Anolis sagrei: one gene and its partners. The protein of the gene in region 4 binds, or shares a complex with, the protein of the main gene of each other region. Links are inferred from orthologs where the notes say so. Each region holds a gene or a part of one and is shown on either strand. Other genes may lie near its edges. The genes, in order: MICOS13, CHCHD6, CHCHD3 and APOO.

Region 1 (7,327 bases), on a different chromosome or scaffold from region 4:
CTATGTGGGGTTGCCTTTGAAGACTGTTTGGAAGGTTCAAGTGGTCCAACGGGTGGCAGCCAGATTTCTCACCAGAGCAGGGTACAGGGAGCATACAACCCCGCTGCTGCGTCAGCTCCACTAGCTGCCAGTTCGCTACCGAGCACAATTCAAAGTGCTGGCTTTGGCCTATAAAGCCCTAACAGTTCTGGCCCAGCTTACCTATCCACATTTATCTCCCTCTATGAACCATCACAGAGGCTAAAATGTTCCAGGGAGGCCCTGCTCTCGGTCCCACCTCCATCTCAGGCGCAACTGGTGGGGATGAGAGACAGGGCCTGCTCAGTGGTGGCCCCTCGGCTATGGAACTCCCCAATAGAATCAGGTCAGCCCCCTCCCTCCTGACCTTAATGAAAAAAACTTACACATGGCTTTGGAACCAAACCTTTGACCAGCAATGGGAGCAGTGCATAAGTGACCACGAATTAATGTGACAGATAAATGGAACGGCCTTGGATTATGATTTGGATGGTGTGATTTTAATTCATATTTTAAACTGCTTGGATTTTAATTGTCTTTGTTTATGTGTATGGCATTGAATTGCTACCTGTTGTAAGGCCGCCCAGAGTCCCCTTCGGTTTGAGAAGGGTGGGGGATCAATTGTAGTAAATAAATAAATATGCAATTGATAAACTCTGTATAGTATTGACTTGATATTCCTATTGAAATGCAGTATACATGAATTAGTAATAACACATTAACTAAGACAAAAACATTCTACATGTATTTTAATGTTTTCTTTAAAATATTATTTTCCATTGTTGCCTGTTGCTTGAGAGTTAACTGAGGTCCCTTCCACACAGCTAAATAAAATCCCATATTATCTGCTTTGAACTGGAATATATAGAACTGGGCTCAGACAACCCAGTTCAAAGCAGATATTGTGGGATTTTCTGACTTGATATCCTAGGTTATATGGCTGTGCGGAAGAGTCCTAAGTGCCTACAGTTAAAAACTGTATCCCAGAATCTGATCCCAGGTTTTCTGTTTATCCGAGATTAGCTGGCAGTGCAGACTCATATAAACCAAAAACCTGGGATCAGATCATGGGATAAAGGGCCTGTCTGGAAAGGCCCAAAGGTATAGTATAGAAAAAATATTATTATTAAATAGATAATTTGGATTATGAACGAACATTACATTTTTATTTATATAGATATATATACATATCTCATGAGCATTCCAAAATACGATACTTGGAATACAACCTTCAAAACAGTTCAAAACAAAGAGACTTCTGCCCCTGCAATATTATTAGTAATATTACATATAATATATAATATACAATTATTCTACTGTTTTATCATTAGTACTATATTGTATTACATTATATTATAATACTAGCTGTCCCCTGCCATGGGTTGCTGTGGCCCAGTCTGTGTTTATGTCATAAAATCATAGAGTTGGAAAAGACCTCGTGGGCCATCCAGTCCAGTCCAGCCCCCTGCCAAGAAGAAGGAATATTGTATTCAAAGCACCCCTGAGAGATGGCCATCCAGCCTCTGTTTAAAAGCTTCCAAAGAAGGAGCCTCTACTACACTCCAAGGCAGAGAGTTCCACTGCTGAACAGCTTTCACAGTCAGGAAGTTCTTTCTCATGTTCAGATGGAATCTCCTTTCTTGTAGTTTGAAGCCATTGTTCCGCGTCCTAGTCTCCAAGGAAGCAGAAAACAAGCTTGCTCCCTATGACTTCCTCTCACATATTTATACATGGCTATCATGTCTCCTCTCAGCCTTCTCTTCTTCAGGCTAACCATGCCCAGCTCTTTAAGCCGCTTCTCATAGGGCTTGCTCTCCAGACCCTTGATCATTTTAGTCGCCCTCCTCTGGACACATTCCAGCTGTTTTAAATGAGTTTTTAAAGAGTTTTTAATACTGGTAGCCAGATTTTGTTCATTTTCAGATTCAACCACCATGTCAGACTACACTGAGAAGCCATTGAAATCCACAAGCATGTGGACAATTTCAACAAAAAGGAGGAGACCATGAAAATGAACAAAATCTGGCTACCAGTATTAAAAAAACTCCAAAATTGCAACAGCAAAACAGCAGAGAGGAAACAACCAGGCACATCTTAATACCTCTCAACAGAACATTTTCCCAGGCTCAGCCAGGCCTTCAAATGCTAATGAAGGTGGTCAGCTGAAACATTCACACCTAGCTTCAGCAGAGAGCTCTTTGCCCCACCCCAGCCATTCCACAGATATATAAACCCATTGTCCTAATTCCAACAGACCTCACTACCTCTGAAGATGCTTGCCATAGATGCAGGCGAAACGTCAGGAGAAATGCCTCTAGAACATGGCCCTATAGCCCGAAAAAACCTACAAGAACCTAGTGATTCCAGCCATGAAAGCCTTGGACAATACAATATAATATGTATGTACAATATGTTATATTATATTATTAGCATTCTAAAATAAGATACTTGGAATACAACCTTCAAAACAGTTCAAAGCAAAGACTTCGGCCCTTTCTACACTGCCATACAAAATCCAGATTACCTGCTTTGAACCGGATTATCAGGCAGTGTAGACTCATATAATCCAGTTCAAAGTAGATGATGTGGATTATCGGATTTGATAATCTGGATTGTATGGCAGTACAGAAGAGGCCTTAGATTGCAATAATGGTAACAGTTTCCCAAAAGAGAATTGGATTCCACTATTTCAAAGAGATTTGGGATTGCAATATTTCAAACGCAGAGCATTACAGTTGGAAGGGCCATCTAGTGCAACCCTCTTGCCATTAAAGCTTGGGTGCTGTAGTTTTGCAAGGCCTGCCAGACTACTGATGCCAAGATCCCATTGCATTGAGCCCTTCTTTCCTGATTATGAATCTAGAAAACCGCCCTCCCGACTCACTTGATCACAGGGACGAAGCGAGACGCCATGACAGCAACGCCTTCGCCGGCCCAAGGGCAGCAAAGCGCCCGCCCGCACCGGTTTTTCCCCCCTGCAGCAAAAGCCCATTGGCTGACCTACTCTCGCGAGACTTTTCGGGAACTGCCGCGGTTGAGAGAAATGGAGGCCGCCATTGTTCCTGAGAGGGAGGGCGGGGGCTTTTTCTTTCTTTTTCACCAACTATAGGAAATTGAACTTAATGTGAATTGAATGAAACTGAATGAGTGTAGGGCGAGGCAACATTCCCTCAAAACATGAAGGCTTTTTATTATGTTTCTTGTTCTAACGGTAACCAATGGGCCCGTTGTGCGCATGAGCAGGGAGGTTGCCGTGCGCATGCGCGAGCGGAATCATGTTTTCCCCCACTCTGTCCACTCTGTTCCCTACTTCCTTAAGGTCGTGCCACGTTTAAGGTCGTGCCAGTCTTCCTGGGATAACATCGTTTTCAGTCTTCTGTTAAACTTTTTGTAAACAAGGAGGAGAATCCAGAATTTCGGTGCAGCTATTGAATTTTAAAGTATTTAAAATTCTTTATACCATAAAGTAGAAATATGGCGTTATGATTAACTCGTTCATGTTGATCTTATATAGACAGGTTTCTGCGTTTTGGGTTTTCTGTTAAGTGTTTCCTGAGGCCTTGAGGGCGAATCTACACTGCCAAATAATGCAATATAGACGCCTATCATGCAGTTCGATGCATTATATAGTGGGTGTACTCTCTCTTGTACAGTTCAGTGCATTCTGTGCAAAGTGTAGACCCTATATTGCAGCTCAATGCATTCTATGGTCAGCGTAGAGTCCCAAAATATAGCTTAAGCAGTGGTTCTCAACCTGTGGGTCCCCAGATGTTTGGGCCTTCAACTCCCAGAAATCCTAACAGCTAGCAAACTGGCTGGGATTTCTGGGAGTTGTAGGCCAAAACACCTGGGGACCCACAGGTTGAGAAGCACTGGCTTAATGCATTCTATGTTCAATGTAAAGTCCTATAGTACAGTTCAATACATTCTATGGTCAGTGTAGAGTCCTATAATGCAGTTCAGTATATTCTGTGGTGAGTGTAGTCTCCTGTTACATAGTTCAATACATTATATGGTAAGTGTAGACCCTATAATGCATAGTTAGACTGCATGAGAGTAGATTCTTATAATGTAGTTCAGTGCATTCTACTATCAGCGTAGAGTCCAGTAATGCAGTTCAATGCATTATATGGCCAGTGTAGATTCCTATAATGTAGTTCAGTATATTCTATTGTCAGTGTAAAGTCCTATAATGCAGCTCAATGCATTGTATGGTCAATGTTGACTCCTATCATACAGTTAGACTGCATTCTATGAGTCTACGCAATCCATGTAACGCAGTTCCAAGCTACATTATACAATCAGTGCGGAAGGGGCTCCTTTTGGCAGTCTTCCATGGAGCTGAGTCCCAGTTCAGCGACTCTCTCTCTCCTCAAAACACACCCGTTGGCCTGCAGGGCGTGGGAGGCACCCGCCCTTTGTATCCCCTGATCCGTTTCTGACCCTTGCCATCATTTTCAGGCTTGAATATCTATTTGTGGTGACACTTGGAGAGAAGGGAGATGAGGGCCGCTGGGCTTCTGCTCTCGGTCCTTGGCATCGCAGCTGTTTGGGTGGCCTTCTCCTGGAGAGACACCTTCGAGCCAGGTAGGAGCTGCAGAGGAACGGGTGGCCATCTGTTGGGAGGGTTCGGATTGTGTACCCCGCCTGCCTGGCACAGCCCATGGGTTTCCCTGCCAACTCTAAGACTCAATGAAGGCCGACACTTGTTGGCAGGCAAAATACCGTATATAAACAAGTATCAACCCTGCTGGGTGAAGAGGTGAGGATCTTGGCGGGAAGTCGTGGGGCTGAAACAAGGGCATATTTCAATCCCATGACTTCCCACCAGGACCACTTGAGTATAAGCCGATGGGGGGCATTTTCAGGCTAAAAAAGGGCTGAAAATCTTGGCTTATACTCAAGTGTATACGGTACTCTACTTTCCCCTTTGGCCGTATTTCTTTTTCTCTCCCAGACAGCCTTTCCGGGGCCCGGGTTCTCTTGACTGGCGCCAGCGATGGGATCGGGGAACAAATGGCCTACCATTACGCCCGGTTCGGGGCACAAATTGTCCTCACCGCCCGGAGGGAGGCCATGCTGCAGAAAGTGAGAACACATCCAGATTCAAAGTCTGGGATTGGGGAAAGATAGAGCTTGGGTTGAGTTCTAGAGCCTCCATGCATACCAATATCTGGTTCTAAGGCCCCCATGGATTCCAGTACCGGATTGCGTCTGGTTTGAGGACTCCCAAGAATACCTATGTTTAGTTAGGTTTGGTCCTAGGACCGCCTTAGATATTAATGTTCGTGTTGGGTTCTAGGAACCCAGTGGATACCTATGTCTGGTTGGCTTAGTTCTAAGGCCTTTAGAGGAATCAACGTTTGGATAGAATTAACATGCTCTAAGTTCCTCTCTCTCGTTCCTCTCATGGATGGGGTTCATGGACTCATGTTCTAAGAATCAAGTGTTTTCCTGGTTTCCTGTATTGCTTCAAGAATCAAGTGGTTTCATGGATTCATGTATTTTTGGATCTTGGGTATAGCTGCCATGTACTTTTGATCTTCTCGGTTGCTGTGTTCTTTCAAGAGTCCAGTTTAAAGATCTTGCTTACATTCTGGTCTCGTGGATTATTGCTTCCAAGTCTTCCTAAGTGCCTTGTGTTACATGGATTATATTTTGTATTGACTTCTTATCATTTTTGCTGAAGCTACATTTATACCTTAAGAAACTGCTTTGCTTATAACTGAGCTCTGGGGTGTGAGATTGGTTTAAAGGCGCCTTTCCAGCCCTGCTGTGTGACAGTTGGGTTGGGTTCTAGAGCTCCAATAGATACCAAAGTCTATTTGAGTTGGGTTCTAGGTCCCTGTGGCTATTGATATCCGGTTGGATTGGGTTCTAGGGTTCCCAGGAATACCAATATCTGGTTGGGTTGTGTTCTAGGGTTCCTATGGATACCAATACCTGATTGGGTCTGATTCCAGGACCCCCATAAATACCAGTCTCTGGTTGGGTTAGGTCCTAGGGCCCCTATGGATACCAATACCTGATTGGATCCAATTCCAGGACCCCCATGGATACCAATATCTGTTTGCATTGGGTATTAGGACCCTCGTGGATCCCCAAATCCATGGATGCTCAACTCCCATTATATGCAGTGGTGAACAATACGCATAAAATGGCAAAACTAAGGTTGAATTTTGGGGTTTTTCAGAAATACTTTCAAGCCATGGATGGTACAGCGAACCAATTGTACTAGGAACCATCCCTATCGCACATGGCTGGATTTCTCCCGGTTGAAGAAGTCCATAAATGGTGGTTGTTCCTTTTGCTTTTGTCCAGGTGATGGCCAAATGCCTGGAGCTGGGAGCCAAGAAGGCCGTCTACTTCGTCGCAGATATGGCTTCTTCCGCAGAGCCAGAAAAGCTGGTCCATTTTGCCTTGGAGGAACTCGGTGGGTCCTCAAACCCCAAAACTACAACTCCCAAGTGATGTCAAAGTGCAGTACTTCTACGCGATTCTAACTAACCCTTAGGTTCACACTGTATGGATGAATTGGGATAACAAGTTGGACCTGTTTTTTCATCGCTTTCTGCCAATGACAAATCTGCTTTTCTTTCCCATCCTTCTTTTTTTAGGGGGCCTGGATTTTGTGGTCCTCAACCATGACGGATCGAGCCCTTTTGAGATGTGGGCTGGAGACATGGACCATCTGCGTTGGCTCATGCAGGTGCGGCTGGGATTTGGGAGGGCCCTCCAAAGGCCATCCAGTCCATCCCCCTTCTGGAAGGCACAATCCAAATCCACCCAACAGAATTATTATTACAATTATTATTATTACTAATATTATTATTAATATTAATATTCCTCTCCCTTCCAGGTGAACTTCTTCAGCTATGTGGCCCTCGCCTCGGTGGCTCTCCCTCCCTTGGCAGAGAGCAAGGGTTCACTAGTGGTGGTCTCTTCCCTGACAGGTGAGTGAGTGCCCTTGGGAAACTACTGCTCCCAGAGACCGGCCACCAATTAGCCAATGCAAGGAAACAAGGCTTGTCCCGTCCTCCTCCATGGGACTTCCTTCCTTCCTTCCTTCCTTCCTTCCTTCCTTCCTTCAAAGATGGAGACATGGCTCTCCTGTCCCCTTCTCTCATCCTTCCTTAATCGCTTCACTAGGTTATTCTTCTAAGCAAAGCACAAAGAATAACCTCCTCCACTTTGATGCAGTATTTAGTATTTTTTCCCTCTCAGGAAGAGTGTCCACCCCCTTCGTGGCTCCTTACTCGGCCACCAAGTTTGCCCTGGAGGGCTTCTTTGGCTCCTTGCGCCACGAACT
Region 2 (7,000 bases), on a different chromosome or scaffold from region 4:
TTTCTCCTGGTAGAGACTTTCGTTTATGTGCATCCGTTTATTTAGTGGTAGAAGCTTTGCAGTAATTAAATGATTATATATTGTGAGAAAGCAAGGAACTGCTTCAATTCTTCCTATCTACTAGATTTTAGAATGCTGAAGGGAAATTATGGAGAACTGCAATGGCAGAATAGTAGAATTGTAGAGTTGGGACGACCCGCAAAGTTTAGTGTGAAATCTTGAATTTTACTCACAAAGAACCCCTATTTTGTGCACTTTTACAGCATGTGTTTGTTCTAGAGTTGTTAGGCCAAGACTATCCCAAGTTCTGAGACTTCAGGGTCTAAACTTGAGTCCTAGGGCTGATCCCTTGGTGATGTGATTAAACTTAAGCATCAGATACAGTGTACAGCATTCAAATTCTAACAAAATTTAAACATTGAAAAACTGTGCACACACACACTCTTTGAAGGCAACCTTCTCACCCTAAGATTCATCACCCTTACCCTGAAAACTAGAGGATGGTCTAGGCCAGGCGTTCCCAAACTAAGGCCACAGACTGGACGCAGCCCTCCAAGGTAATTTACTGGCTCCCACCCTAAACGACTTGAAGACACACAACAACAATTCTAATTAACTTTGAGTCCTCTTGGACAACAAGTTAAACATGAGCCTACAATGTGATGCAGCAGCAGCAGCAGCCAAAAAAAAAAAAAAAAAAGCCAATGGGATTTTGGCCTGCATCAATAGGAGTATAGTGTCTAGATCCAGGGAAGTCATGCTACCCCTCTATTCTGCCTTGGTCAGGCCACACCTGGAATACTGTGTCCAATTCTGGGCACTGCAGTTTAAAGGAGATGTTGACAAGCTGAAATGTGTCCATAGGAGGGAAACTAAAATGATCAAGGGTCTGGAGAACAACCCCTATGAGGAGCGGCTTAAAGAGCTGGGCATGTGTAGTCTGCAGAAGAGAAGGCTGAGAGGGCCATGTATAAATATGTCAGGGGAAGTCATAGGGAGGAGGGAGCAAGCTCGTTTCCTGCTGCCCTTGCAAGTAGGACACGGAACAATGGCTTCAAACTATAGGAAAGGAGATTCCACCTGAACATTAGGAAGAACTTCTTGATTGTGAGAGTTGTTCATCACTGGAACTCTCTGCCCCAGAGTGTGATGAGGGCTCCTTTTTTGGAGGCTTTTAAGCAGAAGCTGGATGGCCATCTGTCGGGAGTGCTTTGATTAGACCACACCTCGAATGTTGTGTCCAATTATGGGCAACACAATTGAAGAGAGATATTGACAAGCTAGAACGTGTCCAGAGGAGGGCGACTAAAATGATCAAGGGTCTGAAGAACAATCCCTATGAGGAGCGGCTTAAAGAGCTAGGCATGTTTAGCCTGAAGAAGAGAAGGCTAAGAGGAGACATGATACCCATGTATAAATACGTGAGAGGAAGTCACAGGAAGGAGGGAGCAAATTTGTTTTCTGCTGCCCTAGAGACTAGAACACGGAACAATGGCTTCAAACTACAATAAAGGAGATTCCATCTGAACATGAGGAAAGTGTGAGAGTCATTCAGCAGTGGAACTCTCTGCCCCGGAGTGTGATGGAGGCTCCTTCTTTGGAAGCTTTTAAACAGAGGCTGGATGGCCATCTATCGGGGGTGGTTAGAATGCGACTTTCCTACTTTTTGGCAGGGGGTTGGACTGGATAGCCCACAAGGTCTCATCCAACTCTATGATTCTATGAGGTGTTTTTGAGTTGGGGAAAGGAAACCTTAAGCCCCCCTTGAGCTAAGAGAACTGTTTCACAATTCATTGGCCTGAGTTTTCAGGCAACTCACTCCTTGCTTTGCTTCTGTGTTTATACAGTGGACATTCAGAAAATAATTTCACTATATTATTTCACGGGATTGTGGCGCAGCTGGCTGAGTGTCAGCTGCATTAAGATCACTCTGACCAAAAGGTCATGAGTTCGAAGCCAGCCCGGGCTGGAGTGGGTGTCCAGCCATTGTGTAGCCCGTTGTCGACCTTTGCAACCCGAAAGACAGTTGCATCTGTCAAGTAGGAAAATAAGGGACCACCTTGTGTGGGAGGCTAAATTTAACTAATTTATGAGGCCATAAAGAAAGAAGACTCCGGGGAATGCGGAATGCGGAAGAACTTCATCGGTGTCGTTGATGGACGATGAAAAGCAGCAGCTCCCCTGGCGGCCAGAAAAAAGTTAAATAGCCTTGGTGTATTTGTGTGTTAAATGTTGTTTGTCAAACTGGCATTGAATGTTTGCCATATATGTGTTGACTGTAATCCGCCCTGAGTCCCCTGCGGGGTGAGAAGGGCGGAATATAAGAACTGTAAATAAATAAATAATAAATATATCCCCATGGCCTCCAAGCACACATAATTCTGTACTACAAAAGGCATGTGAAATATGTTTCAAGGTAATAAAAAGGATATGAGTGGGATCCATATTTTCTTATATATGGCAAAAAATCTATTAACATCAAAAGATCTATTCGAAATTTGACTAGTTCTGAGCCAAGCCCTCTGTTGCTTGTAAATCTATATGCTTGTTTGTTTTTCTGGCAATCAGCTTGACAAGCTTGTTTTGGCTTAGAAATGTATGATCTTTGTTAAAATGGGAGACATGATTTACCTTTGTAATTTAAACATGGGTTTTCTCTTGTTGATTTAATCCAATTCTACCTGAGAGAAATAGATAGCCCCTTTCAGTAGTCTAAATTCAAATAATTGTGTTTTATTACATTTACATGTTTTACAAACAGAGGCGGGTTTCCTTACTGTGGTTACTATGGCAATGCAGAGCAAAACCCCTTTATAGATTTTGTTTTAAAATCCTTCCTAAGCCTACAATTAGCTTTTTCAAGTTTTTAAACAGATAACAACTGTTCTATTATGTTGCATGGGAGGTGGCAAGCCTTCATTACAGCATAATTGCAAAATATTTGCAGCTTGCAAGCACTTTGCATTCTGAGAGTTGACTTTTTATTAATTATATTGGTAGATACAATTATACATGGTTCTTTCCCTCTATTGCTGTCAGGAAAAAAAAGGATATTTGACAGGAAGCATATTATTCATGGAGCCCCCGTAGCACAGTGGGTTAAACCACTGAGTTGCTAAACTTGTTGACCAAATGGTCGCAGGTTAGAATGATCTGCGACTAAAATGATCAAGGGTCTGGAGAACAAGCCCTTTGAGGAGCGGCTTAAAGAGCTGGGCATGTTTAGAATGAAGAAGAGACGGCTGAGAGGAGATATGATAGCCATGTATAAGTATGTGAGAGGAAGTCATAGGGAGGAGGGAGCAAGCTTGTTTTCTGCTGCCCTGGAGACGAGGACGCTGGAGAAAGGAGATTCCATGAAAGGAGACTAGGACTTGGTGCAATGGCTTCAAACTACAAGAAAGGAGATTCCATCTGAACATGAGGAAGAACTTCCTGACTGTGAGAGCTGTTCATCAGTGGAACTCTCTGCCCCTGAGTGTGGTGGAGGCTCCTTCTTTGGAGGCTTTTAAACAGAGGCTGGATGGCCTTCTGTCGGGGGTGCTTTGAATGCGATTTTCCTGCTTCTTGGCGGGGGTTGGACTGGATGGCCCATGAGGTCTCTTCCAACTCTAGGATTCTATGATTCTAAACAAATGCCATGTCCCAACGAGGATGTATTGCTTTCCTTTCTCACGCTAAAATGTATGAAAACCGACCATTATGAAGCGACTCCAATGGGGAGAGTTTGTTGAGAGTCTCAAACTATCTGGCCAGCCTCAGCTTTGCGGCAAATGGATATGTAAACCGTATGATGCTTAAAAGAGGCGCAGCGGGCTGCCCAGAGCCATTGCCGCGCCACCGCTTCTGCGCGCCCTTCCGGGCAAATGTGGTCCTTCTTGGAGCATCCTTGACAGCGGCGGAGGGGTGAGAAAGACTACATCTCCCAGCGTGCCTCGCGGCCGGCTTCCAACACCGCGCCGCGCGATTGGGCGCTTCTTTAGCGGTGGCCAATCGGGGGAGGCTTTGTAGGCCGGTGGAGAAGAGCGTGGTGTCTTTGAGTTTGTGTGGACGGACTGGGCTTTTCTCCTCTTCTGCCTCTGCGGTGCCGGCGTGATGGGCGGCAGCGGGAGCAGCCAGGGCAGGAGGAAGGTCTCCTTCGAGCTGGACGAGGAGGACCGCGTGCGGGTCTTGCAGGGCATCCGGGTGAGTGAGGGAGGGAGAGGGCTTCCTTGCCTGCCTGCTGACCTGACGCCTTACCTGGGCCAACTTGGGCCCTCCAGGTGTTTAGGACTTCAACTCCCACCATTCCTCACAGCCTCAGGCCCTTTCCTTTCCCCCCTCAGCCGCTTAAGCTGAGGGGGGAAAGGAAAGGGCCCGAGGCTGTGAGGAATGGTGGGAGTTGAAGTCCCAAACACCTGGAGGGCCCAAGTTGGGCCAAGCTTCTCTACACTGTAGAATTAATGCAGTTCTGCACCACTTTAACTCCCAAGGTTCAATGCTGTGGAGCCCTGGGAGATGTAGTTTGGCAGGGTCTTTAGCCTCCCTTGCCAAAGCGTCCTGGTGCCTCGCCACACTTACTCACTCACTTAGACAATCCCTCATACCTTGAGGATGATGGTCCTCCAGATGTGGTGTCTTGGTTGTTGGGTCTGTAGGTGGCTGTGGAGCCCTATTCTTGATTCGCATCTTCTCCCGCAGTTTCGCCCTCCGTTCGTGCCGCTTCGAATTCCGCAGCACTGCTGGTCACAGCTGACCTCCAGTTAGAGCGCTCCAGGGCTTTCCAATTCTCGGTGTCTATGCCCCAGTTTTTAAGGTTGGCTTTAAGCCCTTCTTTACATTTCTTTCTCACCACTACAACTCCAGTGGTTCCATGCCATTGAGCCAAGGCAATTAAAGCGTCTAATCCAGGCATGACCACCTGCTGCAATGCACCCTGAGCCCTGCTACATGCACAATGGAGGACCTCCTTGCAGCAACACCAGAGGCACTCCAAGTCGCCAGATACTGGTCAAAGGACATTTAATCAACTATCAAGCTTGCAAACTTTGTGTTTTCTCTGTTTGTTTGTTTTGTTAAAAAATGTAATACAAATGTCTGGTTGCTCCTGATACGATAAATAAAATGGACAAATTTGGGCCCTCCAGGTGTTTTGGGCTTCAACTCCTGCAATTCCTGTTGAAAATGTCAACCTTCTTTAATCTTCCACTAGTAATTTGTTTTGTATATGATTTATTTATTTAGTACATTTCTATACTGCCCCTCTCTCAGCCTTCCGGTGACTCGAGGCGGTTTACAAAGCAAGAGTTCAATGCCTCCAAGGACACGATTACAATATACAATATAAAAACATTATATCAAACATTATAATAAAACATAATTCAATCGATAATCCTTAAAACAATGTCCAGTTCCGCCATATAGTTATTCCATTATTTTCAAATGCCAGCTCAAAAAGCCATGTCTTAAGATGCTTTCGGAATGATAGGAGCGAAAAAGCCGATCTAATCTTCCTAGGAAGGGCGTTCCATAGCCGTTCCATCCTGTGATAATGCGGCATGTCTCATTAACAAATGTGGATCAAGAATAGGGCTCCACAGCCACCTACGGACCCACCACCAAGACATCACATCTGGAGGACCATCATTCTCGACGTACGTGGGATCGCCTAAGTAAGTAAGTGTGGTGAGGTACCAGGACTCTTTGGCAAGAGAGGCTAAAAACCCTGCCAAACTACATCTCCCAGGGCTCCACAGCATTGAGCTTTGGGAGTTAAAGTGGTGCTGAACTGCATTAATTCTACCTGGGCCAATTTGGGCCTTCAAGGTGTTTTGGACTTCAGCTCCCATCATTCCTCACAGCCTCAGGCCCCTTCCTTTTGCTTACTGTATTGTGTGCGCGCGCATGTATATGTGTGTGTTTTGGTATGCAGCTTTCCCTTTACTCTATGTTCCTTGAAGTTGTGGGTGGGGCTGCAGGCCACATGATTGGATCAGGGACTACCCTAAGGTCAGATTCCATTTTAGAACATAGAGAGGCCATGAAACTTTGAACTGTTAAGAGCAAACTAATGTTGCTTTTGATTCTAAGAAAGATGCCCTGTGTTATCAGCACAGAGAAACCAATTCAAAACCTATCTGTATGTAACTGGATTACAATTGGATTACGTACCAGTATGTAACTGGTACAAGTTAATGTACCAGTATGCTGAATATATGAAGATTATAAGTAAACCAAATATGTTACTTTTGACAAAGTCTACTTTATTTTTGTCTCTTGAGAGCATGATATAGAAACAAGATGTTTCGTGGGAGAATAGATATTCTTGGGCACTGAAAAGAATACTTTTGAAGAACTGCTGTATTTTGTGCTTTGGCATATCTGTTTCAAACAGATCAGAGATAACCAGGTTATCAGTCCACTTGCATATGTACATGTGGTCATATACCATTGAAGAGAAGATTTTACTTAAATGAGGTTTGGGCTCTTTGGAAGATCATACTTTTACAAAAGGTTATGATTTTCAAATGGTTGTGATTACCATTTTTCTTCAAAAGGCTATGGAGATGCTGGTTTTCCAAAAGGTTATGATATCCAAAATATCATGCCTTTCCAAAAACCCCTAAGAGCCATAGGAATTGTGGGAGTTGGAGTCCAAAACTCCTGGAGGGCTAATACAACATCCTGCCACTCATACACACACTGCTTTAAACTGCCATAGCTCCATCCTACAGGATTTTAGGATTTGTTATTGTTTTGAGAATGGTCACCTAGAGAGTTCTAGTGCTACACAAAACTGCAAATCCTGGGATGCCATACAATGCAACTAGGCAGTAATTTGGGATTGTGTGGTTTAGGGATTACTTTGGCTGCAGGACACCTGCCTGTAGTGCTTGGATCCTCGTGTTTGATCAGAAGAATCCCTCAGCCCTCGTTTTCCTCAGTATTGTGTAGCATCTTCCTTCTGTGATCTACTTAACAATAAGGACTTAGGGCCTTCCGAATATGACAATTAGGACAA
Region 3 (7,216 bases), on a different chromosome or scaffold from region 4:
CAAAGCTTATAGATAGATAGTTATAGATAGGTAGTTCATAGATAATATATATTTGCCCTATAGATAGAGAGTTCATAGATAACACGTTTCATAGAATAGTTATATTTCCCATAGAATAGATAGTATTTGCCAAAGCTTATAGATAGATAGTTATAGATAGTTCATAGATAATATATATTTGCCCTATAGATAGACAGTTCATAGATAACACGTTTCATAGAATAGTTATATTTGCCATAGAATAGATAGTATTTGCCAAAGCTTATAGATAGATAGTTATAGATAGGTAGTTCATAGATAATATATATTTGCCCTATAGATAGAGAGTTCATAGATAACACGTTTCATAGAATAGTTATATTGGCATAGAATAGATAGAATTTGCCAAAGCTTATAGATAGATAGTTATAGATAGGTAGTTCATAGATAATATATATTTGCCCTATAGATAGAGAGTTCATAGATAACACGTTTCATAGAATAGTTATATTGGCATAGAATAGATAGAATTTGCCAAAGCTTATAGATAGATAGTTATAGATAGGTAGTTCATAGATAATATATATTTGCCCTATAGATAGAGAGTTCATAGATAACACGTTTCATAGAATAGTTATATTTCCCATAGAATAGATAGTATTTGCCAAAGCTTATAGATAGATAGTTATAGATAGATAGTTCATAGATAATATATATTTGCCCTATAGATAGACAGTTCATAGATAACACGTTTCATAGAATAGTTATATTTGCCATAGAATAGATAGTATTTGCCAAAGCTTATAGATAGATAGTTATAGATAGGTAGTTCATAGATAATATATATTTGCCCTATAGATAGAGAGTTCATAGATAACACGTTTCATAGAATAGTTATATTTCCCATAGAATAGATAGAATTTGCCAAAGCTTATAGATAGATAGTTATAGATAGTTCATAGATAATATATATTTGCCCTATAGATAGAGAGTTCATAGATAACACGTTTCATAGAATAGTTATATTTCCCATAGAATAGATAGAATTTGCCAAAGCTTATAGATAGATAGTTATAGATAGTTCATAGATAATATATATTTGCCCTATAGATAGAGAGTTCATAGATAACACGTTTCATAGAATAGTTATATTTGCCATAGAATAGATAGTATTTGCCAAAGCTTATAGATAGATAGTTATAGATAGGTAGTTCATAGATAATATATATTTGCCCTATAGATAGAGAGTTCATAGATAACACGTTTCATAGAATAGTTATATTTGCCATAGAATAGATAGAATTTGCCAAACATTATAGATAGATAGTAATAGATAGGTAGTTCATAGATAATATATATTTGCCCTATAGATAGAGAGTTCATAGATAACACGTTTCATAGAATAGTTATATTGGCATAGAATAGATAGTATTTGCCAAAGCTTATAGATAGATAGTTATAGATAGGTAGTTCATAGATAATATATATTTGCCCTATAGATAGAGAGTTCATAGATAACACGTTTCATAGAATAGTTATATTTGCCATAGAATAGATAGAATTTGCCAAAGCTTATAGATAGATAGTTATAGATAGGTAGTTCATAGATAATATATATTTGCCCTATAGATAGAGAGTTCATAGATAACACGTTTCATAGAATAGTTATATTTGCCATAGAATAGATAGTATTTGCCAAAGCTTATAGATAGATAGTTATAGATAGATAGATCATAGATAATATATATTTGCCCTATAGATAGAGAGTTCATAGATAACACATTTCATAGAATAGTTATATTTGCCATAGAATAGATAGTATTTGCCAAAGCTTATAGATAGATAGTTATAGATAGATAGATCATAGATAATATATATTTGCCTTAGAGTATTTGTAATAAAGAATAGATAATATTTGCCAAAGTTTATAGATTTTAGAGTAGTTATATTTACCTCATAGAATAGTTATAGTCATACATTCCCCATAGCTTATAGTTATAGAAATTATAGTAGTTGTTACATCAGAGTTTATATTTCACTAATCAAACTGTACTTTTATACCTTGATTATTTAGTAAACAATTGTTGAACTTAATCTTGTTTGTAGAGTTTTATTTTGGGGGAATTATAGTAATTTAGGGCATACCGATGGTCACTGGGAAAATAGCCAGACACATTTAGTTTCTCCTTAGATCTTCCTGGTGTGCCATCATAATCATGAATAATAATAATAATATATCATCATGTAAAATAGTATATTGTTATTAATAATAATATGTCATTATTAGTAATAATAATATGTTATTATTATATTGTTGATTTTTTTTGTCGTGTCAGGAGCGACTTGAGAAACTGCAAGTCGCTTCTGGTGTGAGAGAATTGGCCGTCTGTAAGGATGTTGCCCAGGGGATGATTTGATGTTGTTAATAATAATATTATATTATTGATAACATTATTAATAATACACTAATAATAATAAAAATAATAATTATTAATAATATATCATTTTTATTATTAATATAGTATTATTAATATATTGTTGTAGCCCGGAGTGGAAATAATCTATCGGACAGATGGCAAGCTATTCAACCTCAGCAGACTGAAAGCCAAAACCAAGGTTACAACAACAGCTGTTATAGAACTCCAGTATGCTGACGACAATGTCGTCTGTGCGCATTCAGAAGATCTACAAGCCACTCTAAACACCTTCGCAGAAGCATATGAGAAGCTCGGCCTGTCACTGAACATTGAGAAAACCAAGGTGCTGTTCCAGCAGTCACCAGCCCATCCCTCTCCAATGCCAGTAATACAGCTTAATAGCGTAAAATTAGAAAATGTGGACCATTTCCGCTACCTTGGCAGCCACCTCTCCACCAAAGTCAACATCGACGCTGAAATACAACACCGCCTGAGCTCTGCAAGTGCAGCATTTTCCAGAATGAAGCAGAGAGTGTTTGAGGACCGGGACATCCGTAGGGAGACCAAGGTGCTTGTTTATAAAGCTATTGTCCTCCCAACCCTGCTCTATGCCTGTGAGACGTGGACTGTCTACAGACGTCACATGCAGCTCCTGGAACGTTTCCACCAGCGCTGCCTCCGGAAAATCCTGCAAATCTCCTGGGAAGACAAGCGGACAAACGTCAGTGTGCTGGAAGAAGCAAAGACCACCAGCACTGAAGCGATGGTCCTCCAACATCAACTCCGCTGGGCCGGCCACGTTGTCCGGATGCCTGACCACCGTCTCCCAAAGCAGTTGCTCTACTCTGAACTCAAGAACGGAAAATGGAATGTTGGTGGACAGGAAAAGAGATTTAAAGATGGCCTCAAAGCCAACCTTAAAAACTCTGGCATAGACACTGAGAACTGGGAAGCCCTGGCCCTTGAGCGCTCCAGCTGGAGGACAGCTGTGACCAGCAGTGCTGCAGAATTTGAGGAGGCACGAGTGGAGGGTGAAAGAGAGAAACGTGCCAGGAGGAAAGCGCGTCAAGCCAACCCCGACCAGGACCGCCTTCCACCTGGAAACCAATGCCCCCACTGCGGAAGAAGATGTAGAGCAAGAATAGGGCTCCACAGCCACATACGGACCCACAAGGAAATCCATAATGGAAGACCATCTTACTTGTCCAACGAGGGATCGCCTAAGTAAGTAAGTAAGTAAAGTAAGCCCGAAAAACCTCAGCCCTATTGTTATATTATCATTGGTATTATTATTATTAATATATATATATATATATATATATATATATGGTATTATTATTAATAATTAATTATTATTATTACCAATGATAATATAACAATAGGCCTGTTTTGCACCAATTGGGCCAAGGATATACAATTCTGGGATTTATAGTTCCTTGTGGCAGAGAAGGATTAGATATTTCACAATTCCCAAAAGTCTCAAAACTTTGTAATAATGTGCAATGACACTTCAAGTAAGGCTAAATGCTTCATTATGGCCCCAGAATGCTAACACTGCTCTATTAACTACATTTCCCAGCGTGCATTGCGACAAGCGGCGGGCATTTGTAACCAATTCTTGCCGCGTTGCACGCTGGGAGAGGCAGTTCCCATGCTCTTTGAGAGAGAAGAGGGAAAGAGAAAAAGTTTCCACGCCGCCTGTCACTTGGTCAGGCCGGGGCAGGGCCCGTTGCTCAGGGCAACCGTTCTCCCCACCAATCGGAGAGCGGCGGAGGCGGGACGTAAGAGGGGGATGGCCAATGGGCGACGGGTGTGGGCGTGGCGTCTTATAGGGCACCTCCAGGGAGGCTTTTGCGGCCTAGTCTGGTGGTGAGCGAGCCTGGAGCGGGATGGGCGGCGGAGGCAGCGCCCCAAGGAGGGTCACCTTCGAGGCGGACGAGAACGAGAACATCACGGTGGTCAAGGGCGTCCGGGTGAGAGGGAAGACGGGTTGGCTGGACTTAAGCTGAGTGAGCTAGGCCTCAGAGGAGGAAGAGGAGAGGAAAAAGAGTAGGCCCCTGTTGACCTCAGAGGGGTCAAGCATGGAGAACAGGCAGGGTCCAACTTGGGCCTTCCCTCCAGGTGTTTTGGACTTTAACTCCCACAGTTCCTAACAACCTATGCTGAAAGAGTACTTTGGCTGCAGTGTGAGGCCAAGATTTTCGTTTAGAGAGGTCTGTGTATCTTCTGATTGAGCACACACCACATTATCATCAGCATATTGGAGTTCTATAACAGATGTTGTTGTGACCTTGGTTTTGGTTTTTGGGCAGCTGAGGTTAAAGAGCTTGCCACCTGTCCAATAAGCGCATTGCAGAAGTCCAACCTTGAGGTTACCACTATCTTTGGGTCTTCCAAATCTAGGAAGGGACGCAGCTATCGCGTATCAGCCATTGCATCTGCCTGGCCTGATATTTGGAGGGATATCCAGGAGTGCTCCCAAACTTCAAACAGTCGAAATATGTCAGGGAAAGTCATAAGGCGGAGGGAGCAAGCTTGTTTTCTGCTGCCCTGTAGAATCATAGAATCATAGAATCAAGGAGTTGAAAGAAACCTCATGGGCCATCCAGTCCAACCCCATTCTGCCAAGAAGCAGGAACATTGCATTCAAATCACCCCTGACAGATGGCCATCCAGCCCCTGTTTAAAAGCTTCCAAAGAAGGAGCCTCCACCATCCTCCGGGGCAGAGAGTTCCACTGCTGAACGGCTCTCACAGTCAGGAAGTTCTTCCTCATGTTCAGATGGAATCTCCTCTCTTGTAGTTTGAAGCTATTGTTCCACTGCGTCCTAGTCTCCAGGGAAGCAGAAAACAAGCTTGCTCCCTCCTCCCTGTGGCTTCTTCTCACATATTTATACATGGCTATCATATCTCCTCTCAGCCTTCTCTTCTTCAGGCTAAACATGCCCAGCTCCTTAAGCCGCTCCTCATAGGGCTTGTTCTCCAGACCCTTGATCATTTTAGTCGCCCTCCTCTGGACACATTTTTTGCATTAAAACAAACAAACAAACAAAACACAAAATTTGCAGACTTGGTATACTATTAAATGTCTTTTGACCAATTGCTGGCCACTTGGGGTGCCTCTGGTGTTGCTGCAAGAAGGTCCTCCATTGTGCATGTCGCAGGGCTCAGGTCGCATTGCAGCAGGTGGTCAGTGGTTTGCTCTTCTCCACACTCGCATGTCGTGGACTCCACTTTCTGGCCCCATTTCTTATGGTTGGCTCTGCATCTCGCCATGCCAGAGCGCACTCTGTTCAGCGCCTTCCAAGTCGCCCACTCTTCTGTGTGGCCAGAAGGGAGTCTCTCATTTGATATCGGCCATGGTTTGAGGTTCCAGGTTTTAGCCTGCCACTTTTGGACTTGCTTGCTGAGGTTTTCCTGCGAATATCTCTGTAGATCAGTGGTTGTCAACCTGGGGGTCGGGACCCCAGAGGGGGTCGCAAGAGGGTGTCAGAGGGGTCGCCAAAGACCATCAGAAAACACAGTATTTTCTGTTGGTCATGGGGGTTCTGCATGGGAAGTTTGGGCCAATTCTATCATTGGTGGGGTTCAGAATGCTCTTTGACTGTAGGCGAACTATAAATCCCAGCAACTACAACTCCCAACTGTCAATGTCTATTTTCCCCAAATGCCACCAGTGTTCACATTTGGGCATATTGAGTATCCTTGCCAAGTTTGGTCCAGTTCCATCATTGTTTGAGTCCCCAGTGCTCTCTGGATGCAAGTGAACTACAACTCCAAAACTCAAGGTCAATGCCCATCAAACCTTTCCAGTATTTTCTGTTGATCATGAGAGTTCTGTGTGCCAAGTTTGGTTCAAGTTTGGTGGAATTCAGAATGCTCTTTGATTGTAGGTGAACTAGGAATGAAAGTAACTGCAACTCCCAAATGACATAATCAATCCCTTGCCGAATCCCAGTAGTATTCAAATTTGGGTATTTTGGGTATTTGTGCCAAATTTGGTCCAGTGAATGAAAATACATCTTGCATTTTGGATATTTACATTACAGTTCATAACATTAGCAAAATTACAGTTATGAAGCAGCAATGAAAGTAATGTTATGGTTGGGGGTTGCCACAACATGAGGAAGTGTATTAAGGGGTCGCGGCATTAGGAAGGTTGAGAAACACTGCTGTAGATCTTAGAAAACTATTTCTTGATTTAGGGCATTGGTGTGCTGGCTGGTATCTCAACAGGGAGTGGGCCAAAGATGTCACTGCCTTGGTCCTTTAACTATTTGTTTCTACTCCCCGGGGGATGTCAGGTGGTGCAATACCGGCTAAACAGTGTAATTTCTCCAGTGGTGTAGGGCGCAGACACCCCGTGATAATGCGGCATGTCTCATTAAGAGCCACATCCACTGTTTTAGCGTGGTGTTACCATGATTTTCAGGTCCTCCAAATCTTGGAAGGTACACAGCTAGTGTATCATCCATCACATCTGTCTGCTTGTAGAGATGGATCCAGGAGTATTCCCAGACTACAAACATAGTCTTTCAGAGGGAGTGAAACCCTATCCAGAACTGGTTGATGATGTTGTTGTTCATTCGTTCAGTCGTCTCCGACTCTTCGTGACCTCATGGACCAGCCCACGCCAGAGCTCCCTGTCGGCCATCACCACCCCCAGCTCCTTCAAGGTCAGTCCAGTCACTTCAAGGATGCCATCCATCCATCTTGCCCTTGGGCGTTCCCCTTTCCTTTTGCCTTCCACTTTCCCCAGCATAATTGTCTTCTCTAGGCTTTGCTGTCTCCTCATGATGTGGCCAAAGTACTTCAACTTTG
Region 4 (6,827 bases):
TGTTGATGTTATTACTGTTTTCCCACTCATGTACTGGTTGCCTTGGTTTCCTGGAGTGAAAAATATCTTGAACACAATAAAAGGGGGGAAAACAATCCCAGCAAATCTGAAGGGAGGAAAAACACCAAGAGGTAAGATGATAGAACAGCTTATTTTTCATATTCAACCATTTTCATTTCATTTGCATTTAAAGGATGTATTTTGCAACTGTCTTAAATATTCCATTGAAGTCTAAAGTAAAAAAGACAGCCAAAATAATTACATCTTAAAATCCAAATGCAGTGTAATGTTACCTGAATCGGACTTTATACTGAATACTGGGTTCTTTAAGAAGTTCAGCCTCTAAAGGGCTCACTCTCTTCAAAATCTCATGGCTAATGCAGTGTTCCTGAAATAAATAGTTTTTGCTCAATTAATATGTAATAAGTTTTGTTTTTATTATAATTGTTATTGTCGTATTACTAGGAAATCCAAATGCTGAGTTTTTATAGCTTTATAGCAAAATGAAGCTACTGAGATGCAGGAGAGAGGTATCAGTATGTTCAGGTTTAAAATTGCAAAACATGGAAATAATAGTCAGGGAGGAAATAATAATATTGATCTACTACCTAGAACAGGTTTTAAGATAAGCAAACCCTGCCATCTACAGATAGTTCCAACCCACTGCTACTCTCTTGAGGGTTGGAGGTTTCACTTTTGTCAGGAAAGGAAGAATATGAAAATCACAAACCCTTGCGGATGTTGGGCCGAGGAATTATGAAATAATAGCAACAGGTAGTGGAATGCTTTTTAGCTGCTTTCATTTGCACAGTATCTGTGCCCAAGTCATTCCTGCAATACGCACATTCAGGGTAGCTTAGTAAAATACATACTATTTTTTTGGTGTCAGGAGCGACTTGAGAAACTGCAAGTCGCTTCTGGTGTGAGAGAATTGTCCGTATGCATGAACGTTGCCCAGGGTATGCCCGGCTGTTTTGATGTTTTACCATCCTTATGGGAGGCTTCTCTCATATCCCCACATGGGGAGCTGGAGGTGACAGAGGGAGCTCATCCGTGCTCTCTCCGAATTCGAACCTCCGACCTGTTGGTCTTTAGACCTGCTGGCACAAGGGTTTAACCCATTGTGCCACCGGGGGCTCCTAATACACTGGGGGCTCCTACATACTATGTGGGAGTGCCTTTGAAGATGGCTTGGAAACTTCAGTTGGTGCAAACTACATCAAATCCTTTATTACTACACTAGCACCACCACTAAGAGGTTACACAATCAGACTAGGGGATACAAGTTTGGAGTTTGCACGAACTATGATATAATATTGGTATTGTGTTTTTCAGCTTGTGCTTCTCTGCCTTCCGCATAAATTCATATTTCTGGCAGTAATATGTGTTTCTGGCAGAACAGTTCTATTGCTCCTCAAAAAATTCAGGATGCAGTAGCTCTTTGGCAAACTCTTCTCTTGATCTCTGGGTTATTATTTTCTGATGCCAAAGAACAGCTACAGAATGAGCTGTCTCATGCACAGTCCCAAGTTCCAGCTACAAATTTTAGTATTCATGCATATATCATCAGACATTGAAAGCAAAAAAAACCCCAAAACACAATCTTCTATTTAGTGTAGGAGGCATTCCTGTTTCCAATCCCCAGCCTAATTTTCATGCTCAGTGCATCTGCAAAACAGGAGGCCGACTTTGAAAACAGGGAGAGGGATAAAAAGTCAGATCTAGTCAGACATCACCAAGTATAAGAACCTACTGCTGCACGAATGGTGTGTTTCAGAAGTTTAAACAGTCTTTTCCTTATGTGAGTCCACCAGAATTTCTGAATAAGATTAACTGCTTGCTCTTCTGCAATCCTGTTGAGAGGAAAGCAATGCATACATTAGATAGGTGTTGTGCTATTTGAAAAAACACATACATAACAATTACTTGAACAAAAACATTTATGTCCACAGAGATTTGTAGACTGTACTCTAGTCACAACAGAATCAGCAGTCTATTCATAAGCTTAGTGCATCTATCTTACAGAGCCCTGCTGCCTAAGACTGGATCTACTAGGCTTGTGTGCAGGTCCATTTTGGCCGGTTTCCTTCTGCCAATCCGGCTTCTTCGGCTTGGTTGGATAGCTGTAACAGAACCACATGGCAGCCGATCACAGCTCCTCCTCCTCTTTTCGGGAGCACACGGTGCGCAAAGTGGCTGCCACTGCGTGCTCCTCACACAGAGTTTTCCTGTGAGCCCTGCCTGTTGGACCAATCAGAATAGAAGAACACCATGATGTGTCTTATACAAGCTGTGTCTACTTCTTTAGTCTCGTTGCTGAAACCCAGACCCCCTTGAAGGAAAGAAAGGGTCCCAGGAATGGAAAGGAGAGCCTCATAAGTTCCCCATTGCCTCCAATGGGCTGGATCTAGCCATATTTTTCGGGTGCGGACCTAAAAAGGCTATCTGGCTACCAGCCCGTTTTCAGGAGGTGTGCAAAAATGGGTATGGGGGTCTACCGGAATCCAGCCAGCAGAAACGATTTGAGGTTCAGCTGAAATGCACAAGCCTAGGATCCATACGATTTGGAACGGCATTATATGGTCAATGTAGACACACATTAAGCAATTACATATGTCTACATTGACCATATAATGCAGTTCCAAACGACATTATATGGCAGGGTAGAACCAGCCCTAATAGCATGGCTGTGAGCTGATTATCTCTATTCCAATAGATATGTGGACTGTCGTTAAGCAAAGATGGCAGATTGAAAGTCAAAGCCCTAGTCAAAGTAGACTGATTCTGACACTTGGGACCTGTTTGATATAATTTTAAAAACTTCCCTTCTATAAACAGGAAGGATATGGAAAGGTGCTTCAAAGATATCATTGTTCCGCTTGTACATATGTTTAGAAGTAGTAGCAAATATCCCATCAACTGTACAATTATTTGAAGGCACTTTGGAACTCCATTGCCACTGCTATGAGGGTGACAAAATGGCAACTACAAGAGTTAATAACAGGCAGCAGTGAACTGGGTTTTGCTGGATGCTGAATGGATACACACAACATGCAAGTGTGGAGAGGAGCAAACCACAGACCACCTACTACAATGCAACCTGAGCCCTGCCACATGCACAATGGAGGACCTTTTCACAGCGACACCAGAGACACTCCAAGTGGCCAGCTTCTGGTCAAAGGACATTTAGTATAATGCAAAGTTTTTTAACTTTGTTTGTGTTTCTAAATGAATTTTAACTGTATCCTCAATTCACTTCTGATACGATAAATAAATGGATGTTGTGGATGGCCTCCTGCTACTTACAGTGGCATAGAGACTCTCCAGGGTAGATGATCCAGAGAGATGCCCCCTTGAAACTGCAGGGCAGATTTCTGTGATCTTATCCTTCTATTTCTTTATTGAAAGGTAGCTCACCTATGGATTTTTTTTCACCTGCATTTATACTGCTACATAAGACGTGGAGACCATCCTTAAGGTAAAGATTTCCCCTTGAGTCATGCCCGACTCCCACCATTCCTCACAGCCTCAGGCCCAAAACACCTGGAGGGCCCAAGTTGGCCCAGGCCTAATATAGATCCATCTGGGGTCCCTTCCTCTTCCTCTGCCATCCACATGGAGAAGTCAAGGGCCAGGTTTACCTCCGCCTCCGATTGCTTTCGTCTTCTTCGTCTTCTTCGTCAGGAAGCACGATCCGAACATTGCTGAACATGCCTTCGCGCCGCCGCCGCCTTGGCCTGTACCAGCGTCTTCCCCTGGTTGCCTAGACAACAGGACGCGCCACTGGGCCGGAAATGATGCCACTTCCGCCTGCGCTCTCCCCGCGGCATGTTTCGAAGGGCGCCCGTGTGGCGCCAAACATGGGCCTTCCGGGTACCCGTACGCGGCGCTTGGTGAATGACGTCATCGTCGCTGCGCCGTCATTCACCAACGGTGCTGTCATTCACTCGCGGGGATATGTTCAAGGTGAGAAAGTTTTCCCCGACGTTGTTTTGAGGGAGAGAGCGGGAACATGCATGGGATGGCTTGCTTCCCCGCGGGGAGGTTCTGGCCTTCTTCGAAAAGAGGTCGCGGCGATGTTTGGCTCTTTTTTGTAGCGTTGTCATGGAAACAGCTTAGGAAAAAGCGTGCGAGGGAGCTCCCAGTGTCTTGGAAGCGCAGAAATAGCTCATTTGGCGCGAGGAAGAAACACTTCTAAGCCCAGAGTTGAGGAACCCTTATCAGAAGTGTTTTGGATTTCGCAATATCTTTGTGTGTATGTATATGTGTGTGTGTTTTGGAAAATAGCATTCATAACCTTTTGGAAAACACCTTTTGAATGATCCTAACCTTTTAGAAAAGCACGACCTTTCAAAGACCCTTTAGAGTAGAACCTTCTCTTGTGGTATACAACCAGATATAATTACTCAAGGTAATGGTTTCAGTTGTTAGACTGAATAACCTGTTGTCTCAGATCTGTTAGGAAATCAGAGATTTGCCAGTGCATACAAAACAGCAATACTTCAGAAGTGTTTTTCATTGCCCAAAAATATATACTCTCCCATAAATGAAATTAGATCTGCCCCCTCCCTCCTGACCTTTAGGAAGCTAGTGAAAACCTGGCTTTTGCAGAATGTTGTTTGAGACCGGCAATCGACTAATGGTACTGATCACAATATATGGAATGGACATACTGATTGAGTTGGATACGATTTTATCTTGGCGAACAGCTTCTATGTAATGTTATGTAATCTTTGTAATTTTTACATGTAATTGGTAACTTAATGTTGTGTATTATGTCTAGATTTTCAGTGTTAGCATTGAATCTTTGCTGTTAGCCGGTCTGAGTCCCTCTGCAGAGGTAGAGAAGATCGGGATATAAAAGTTTTAAATAAATAAATGAATAAAACAACTTGTTTTATGTCATGCACTCGAGAGACAAAAATGAAGTACTGGGTTGTTGTAGGTTTTTCCAGCTGTATGGTCATATTCTAACGTTTTGCCTTCATCATTAAATCATGTGAAGTCTGTTGGAAACTAGGAAAATACAACCCAAAAAACCTACAACAACCCAGTAATTCCAGCCATGAAAGCTTTCAACAATACTAAAATGATGTGGACCAGGGTCCCTAAAACTAATGTCCAGGTGCCGGATGTGGCCCTCCAAGGTCATTTACTGTCCCTCGCTCAGGATCAACCTAAGTCTGAAATGACTTGAAAGCACACAATAACAACAACAATCCTATCTCATTTGCCAAAAGTAGGCCCACGCTTGTCATTGAAATACCAATAAATTTATATTTGTTAAAATTGTTCTTCATTTTAATTATTGTGTTGTTTTAAAGTGTCTTATGCAGTACAAATAAGATATGTGCAGTGTGTATAGGAATTCATTCATGTTTTTTTCAAATTATAATCTGGCCCTCCAGCAGTTTGAGGGACTGTGACCTGGCTCTCTGTTTAAAAAGCTTGAGGACTCCTGATGTGGACTTTGATTTAAAAACATATTTGGTTTACTTACAACCTTCATGTGTTCAGCATACACAGGTACAAAACTTACCAGTCTAGTTTCAGATGTGTCCCCGGCTATGGAACTCCCTCCTGGTGAGATCAGGTTGGCCCCCTCTCTCCTGTCCTTTAGAAGAATGGTAAAACCTTGGCTGTGGGACCAAGCTTTTGGGTCAGGGCAATAAAGCGGCAATAGGAAAGATGATCAGGCCAATGATTTGACACGGATGACTAGGACGGTTATAAATGGTGTATTTTAATATTTTGATAAATATTTTTAAATATTTATTTATTGTATGTCTATCTGTGTCCCGGCATTGAATGTTTGCCGTGTATATGCTGTGCTCTGACCTAAATCCCCTTCGGGGTGAGAAGGGCGGAATAGAAATGTTTTACATAAATAAATAAATAAATAAATAAATAAATAAATAGATAGATAGATAGATAGATAGATAGATAGATATTATATATAGGTATAGGTATAGATTACATATCTTGGAGATGGGGCCCAAGTCTAAACTCAAAAGTCATTCGTCTCATCATACTGTCATATAAATCATACTCTATTACAAGTTATAGCTCATGATATGAATCTTATATACATTTCTTTTAAAATTTTGTGTATGAAACAACATGTGTGTACATTGAGCCATCAGCAATCAGAGGTGCCACCCATGTGAAGAATCTAGGAGCATTTAGGATTTCTAAACATTTGTTAGGATGAATCAGAATGTCTTGTGCATTCAGACACACATCCACATGTATATAATCATTTACACACACACACACATAGTGCAATTACTGTACATACTTTATAAATAGAAGAATAGCAAAGCAGTTCTCTGCTCGCAGGCTTACAATCTTATTCAGACATGATGCAAAAAGAAAAGGGGATGGCAGTCTAGGAGGGGATAGAGGCCAGTGAAGTGGCCTTTGGGATGAAGGATTGGGCCTTACCTCTTTCTACCGCTCATGTCTTCCCACCCACTAATTCTTTCTCTTTATATAGGAGCTGGGTTTCTGAGTAAGGGGTGTTCAACCAATAACACCTTTGTTAAGGCTATATCTGAATGTCATATGGTGACTGTATATATGCACACAGATGAATATGTCCAAACAGACACACAGACAGACTCATATAATACTGACCAACACTCATTTTGCTGCCTCAAATGTTATCCGTCTTTCTGGGTATATTTGACCTGCAACTTCAAAAAACGACACCAGTTTCCTCTTACCAGTTCTGGTTTCTGAGATACAGAACATATGCCATCAACCAATTGCCATCTGCTTGCCCATAGAAAACCATAAGAACCATATTTACGAAACTAGAACTGATG

What was found.
Region 1: APOO (region 4) and MICOS13 share a complex: the UniProt entries of both Homo sapiens proteins name them as parts of the mitochondrial contact site and cristae organizing system (MICOS) complex. The link is inferred for Anolis sagrei from reciprocal best matches to the Homo sapiens genes APOO and MICOS13.
Region 2: APOO (region 4) and CHCHD6 share a complex: the UniProt entries of both Homo sapiens proteins name them as parts of the mitochondrial contact site and cristae organizing system (MICOS) complex. The link is inferred for Anolis sagrei from reciprocal best matches to the Homo sapiens genes APOO and CHCHD6.
Region 3: APOO (region 4) and CHCHD3 share a complex: the UniProt entries of both Homo sapiens proteins name them as parts of the mitochondrial contact site and cristae organizing system (MICOS) complex. The link is inferred for Anolis sagrei from reciprocal best matches to the Homo sapiens genes APOO and CHCHD3.

What each region holds. Positions count from the first base shown.
Region 1 is NC_090034.1:54,660,520-54,667,846, reverse strand, and holds the start of MICOS13 (MICOS complex subunit MIC13), read right to left. Parts: upstream 3,008-7,327; 5' UTR 2,932-3,007; coding exon 2,903-2,931; intron 1-2,902. Other genes in the region: hydroxysteroid 11-beta-dehydrogenase 1-like protein, read left to right, coding at 4,521-4,605, 4,976-5,106, 6,340-6,451, 6,636-6,727, 6,878-6,971, 7,243-7,327. UniProt on the Homo sapiens protein: Component of the MICOS complex, a large protein complex of the mitochondrial inner membrane that plays crucial roles in the maintenance of crista junctions, inner membrane architecture, and formation of contact sites to the outer membrane.
Region 2 is NC_090022.1:54,978,344-54,985,343, reverse strand, and holds the start of CHCHD6 (MICOS complex subunit MIC25), read left to right. Parts: upstream 1-3,996; 5' UTR 3,997-4,095; coding exon 4,096-4,185; intron 4,186-7,000. UniProt on the Homo sapiens protein: Component of the MICOS complex, a large protein complex of the mitochondrial inner membrane that plays crucial roles in the maintenance of crista junctions, inner membrane architecture, and formation of contact sites to the outer membrane.
Region 3 is NC_090025.1:192,696,865-192,704,080, reverse strand, and holds the start of CHCHD3 (MICOS complex subunit MIC19), read left to right. Parts: upstream 1-4,206; 5' UTR 4,207-4,285; coding exon 4,286-4,369; intron 4,370-7,216. UniProt on the Homo sapiens protein: Component of the MICOS complex, a large protein complex of the mitochondrial inner membrane that plays crucial roles in the maintenance of crista junctions, inner membrane architecture, and formation of contact sites to the outer membrane.
Region 4 is NC_090023.1:86,752,088-86,758,914, forward strand, and holds the start of APOO (MICOS complex subunit MIC26), read left to right. Parts: upstream 1-3,826; 5' UTR 3,827-3,897; coding exon 3,898-3,966; intron 3,967-6,827. Other genes in the region: C3HXorf58 (uncharacterized protein CXorf58 homolog), read right to left, coding at 1-106, 294-388, 1,754-1,853, 3,642-3,712. UniProt on the Homo sapiens protein: Component of the MICOS complex, a large protein complex of the mitochondrial inner membrane that plays crucial roles in the maintenance of crista junctions, inner membrane architecture, and formation of contact sites to the outer membrane.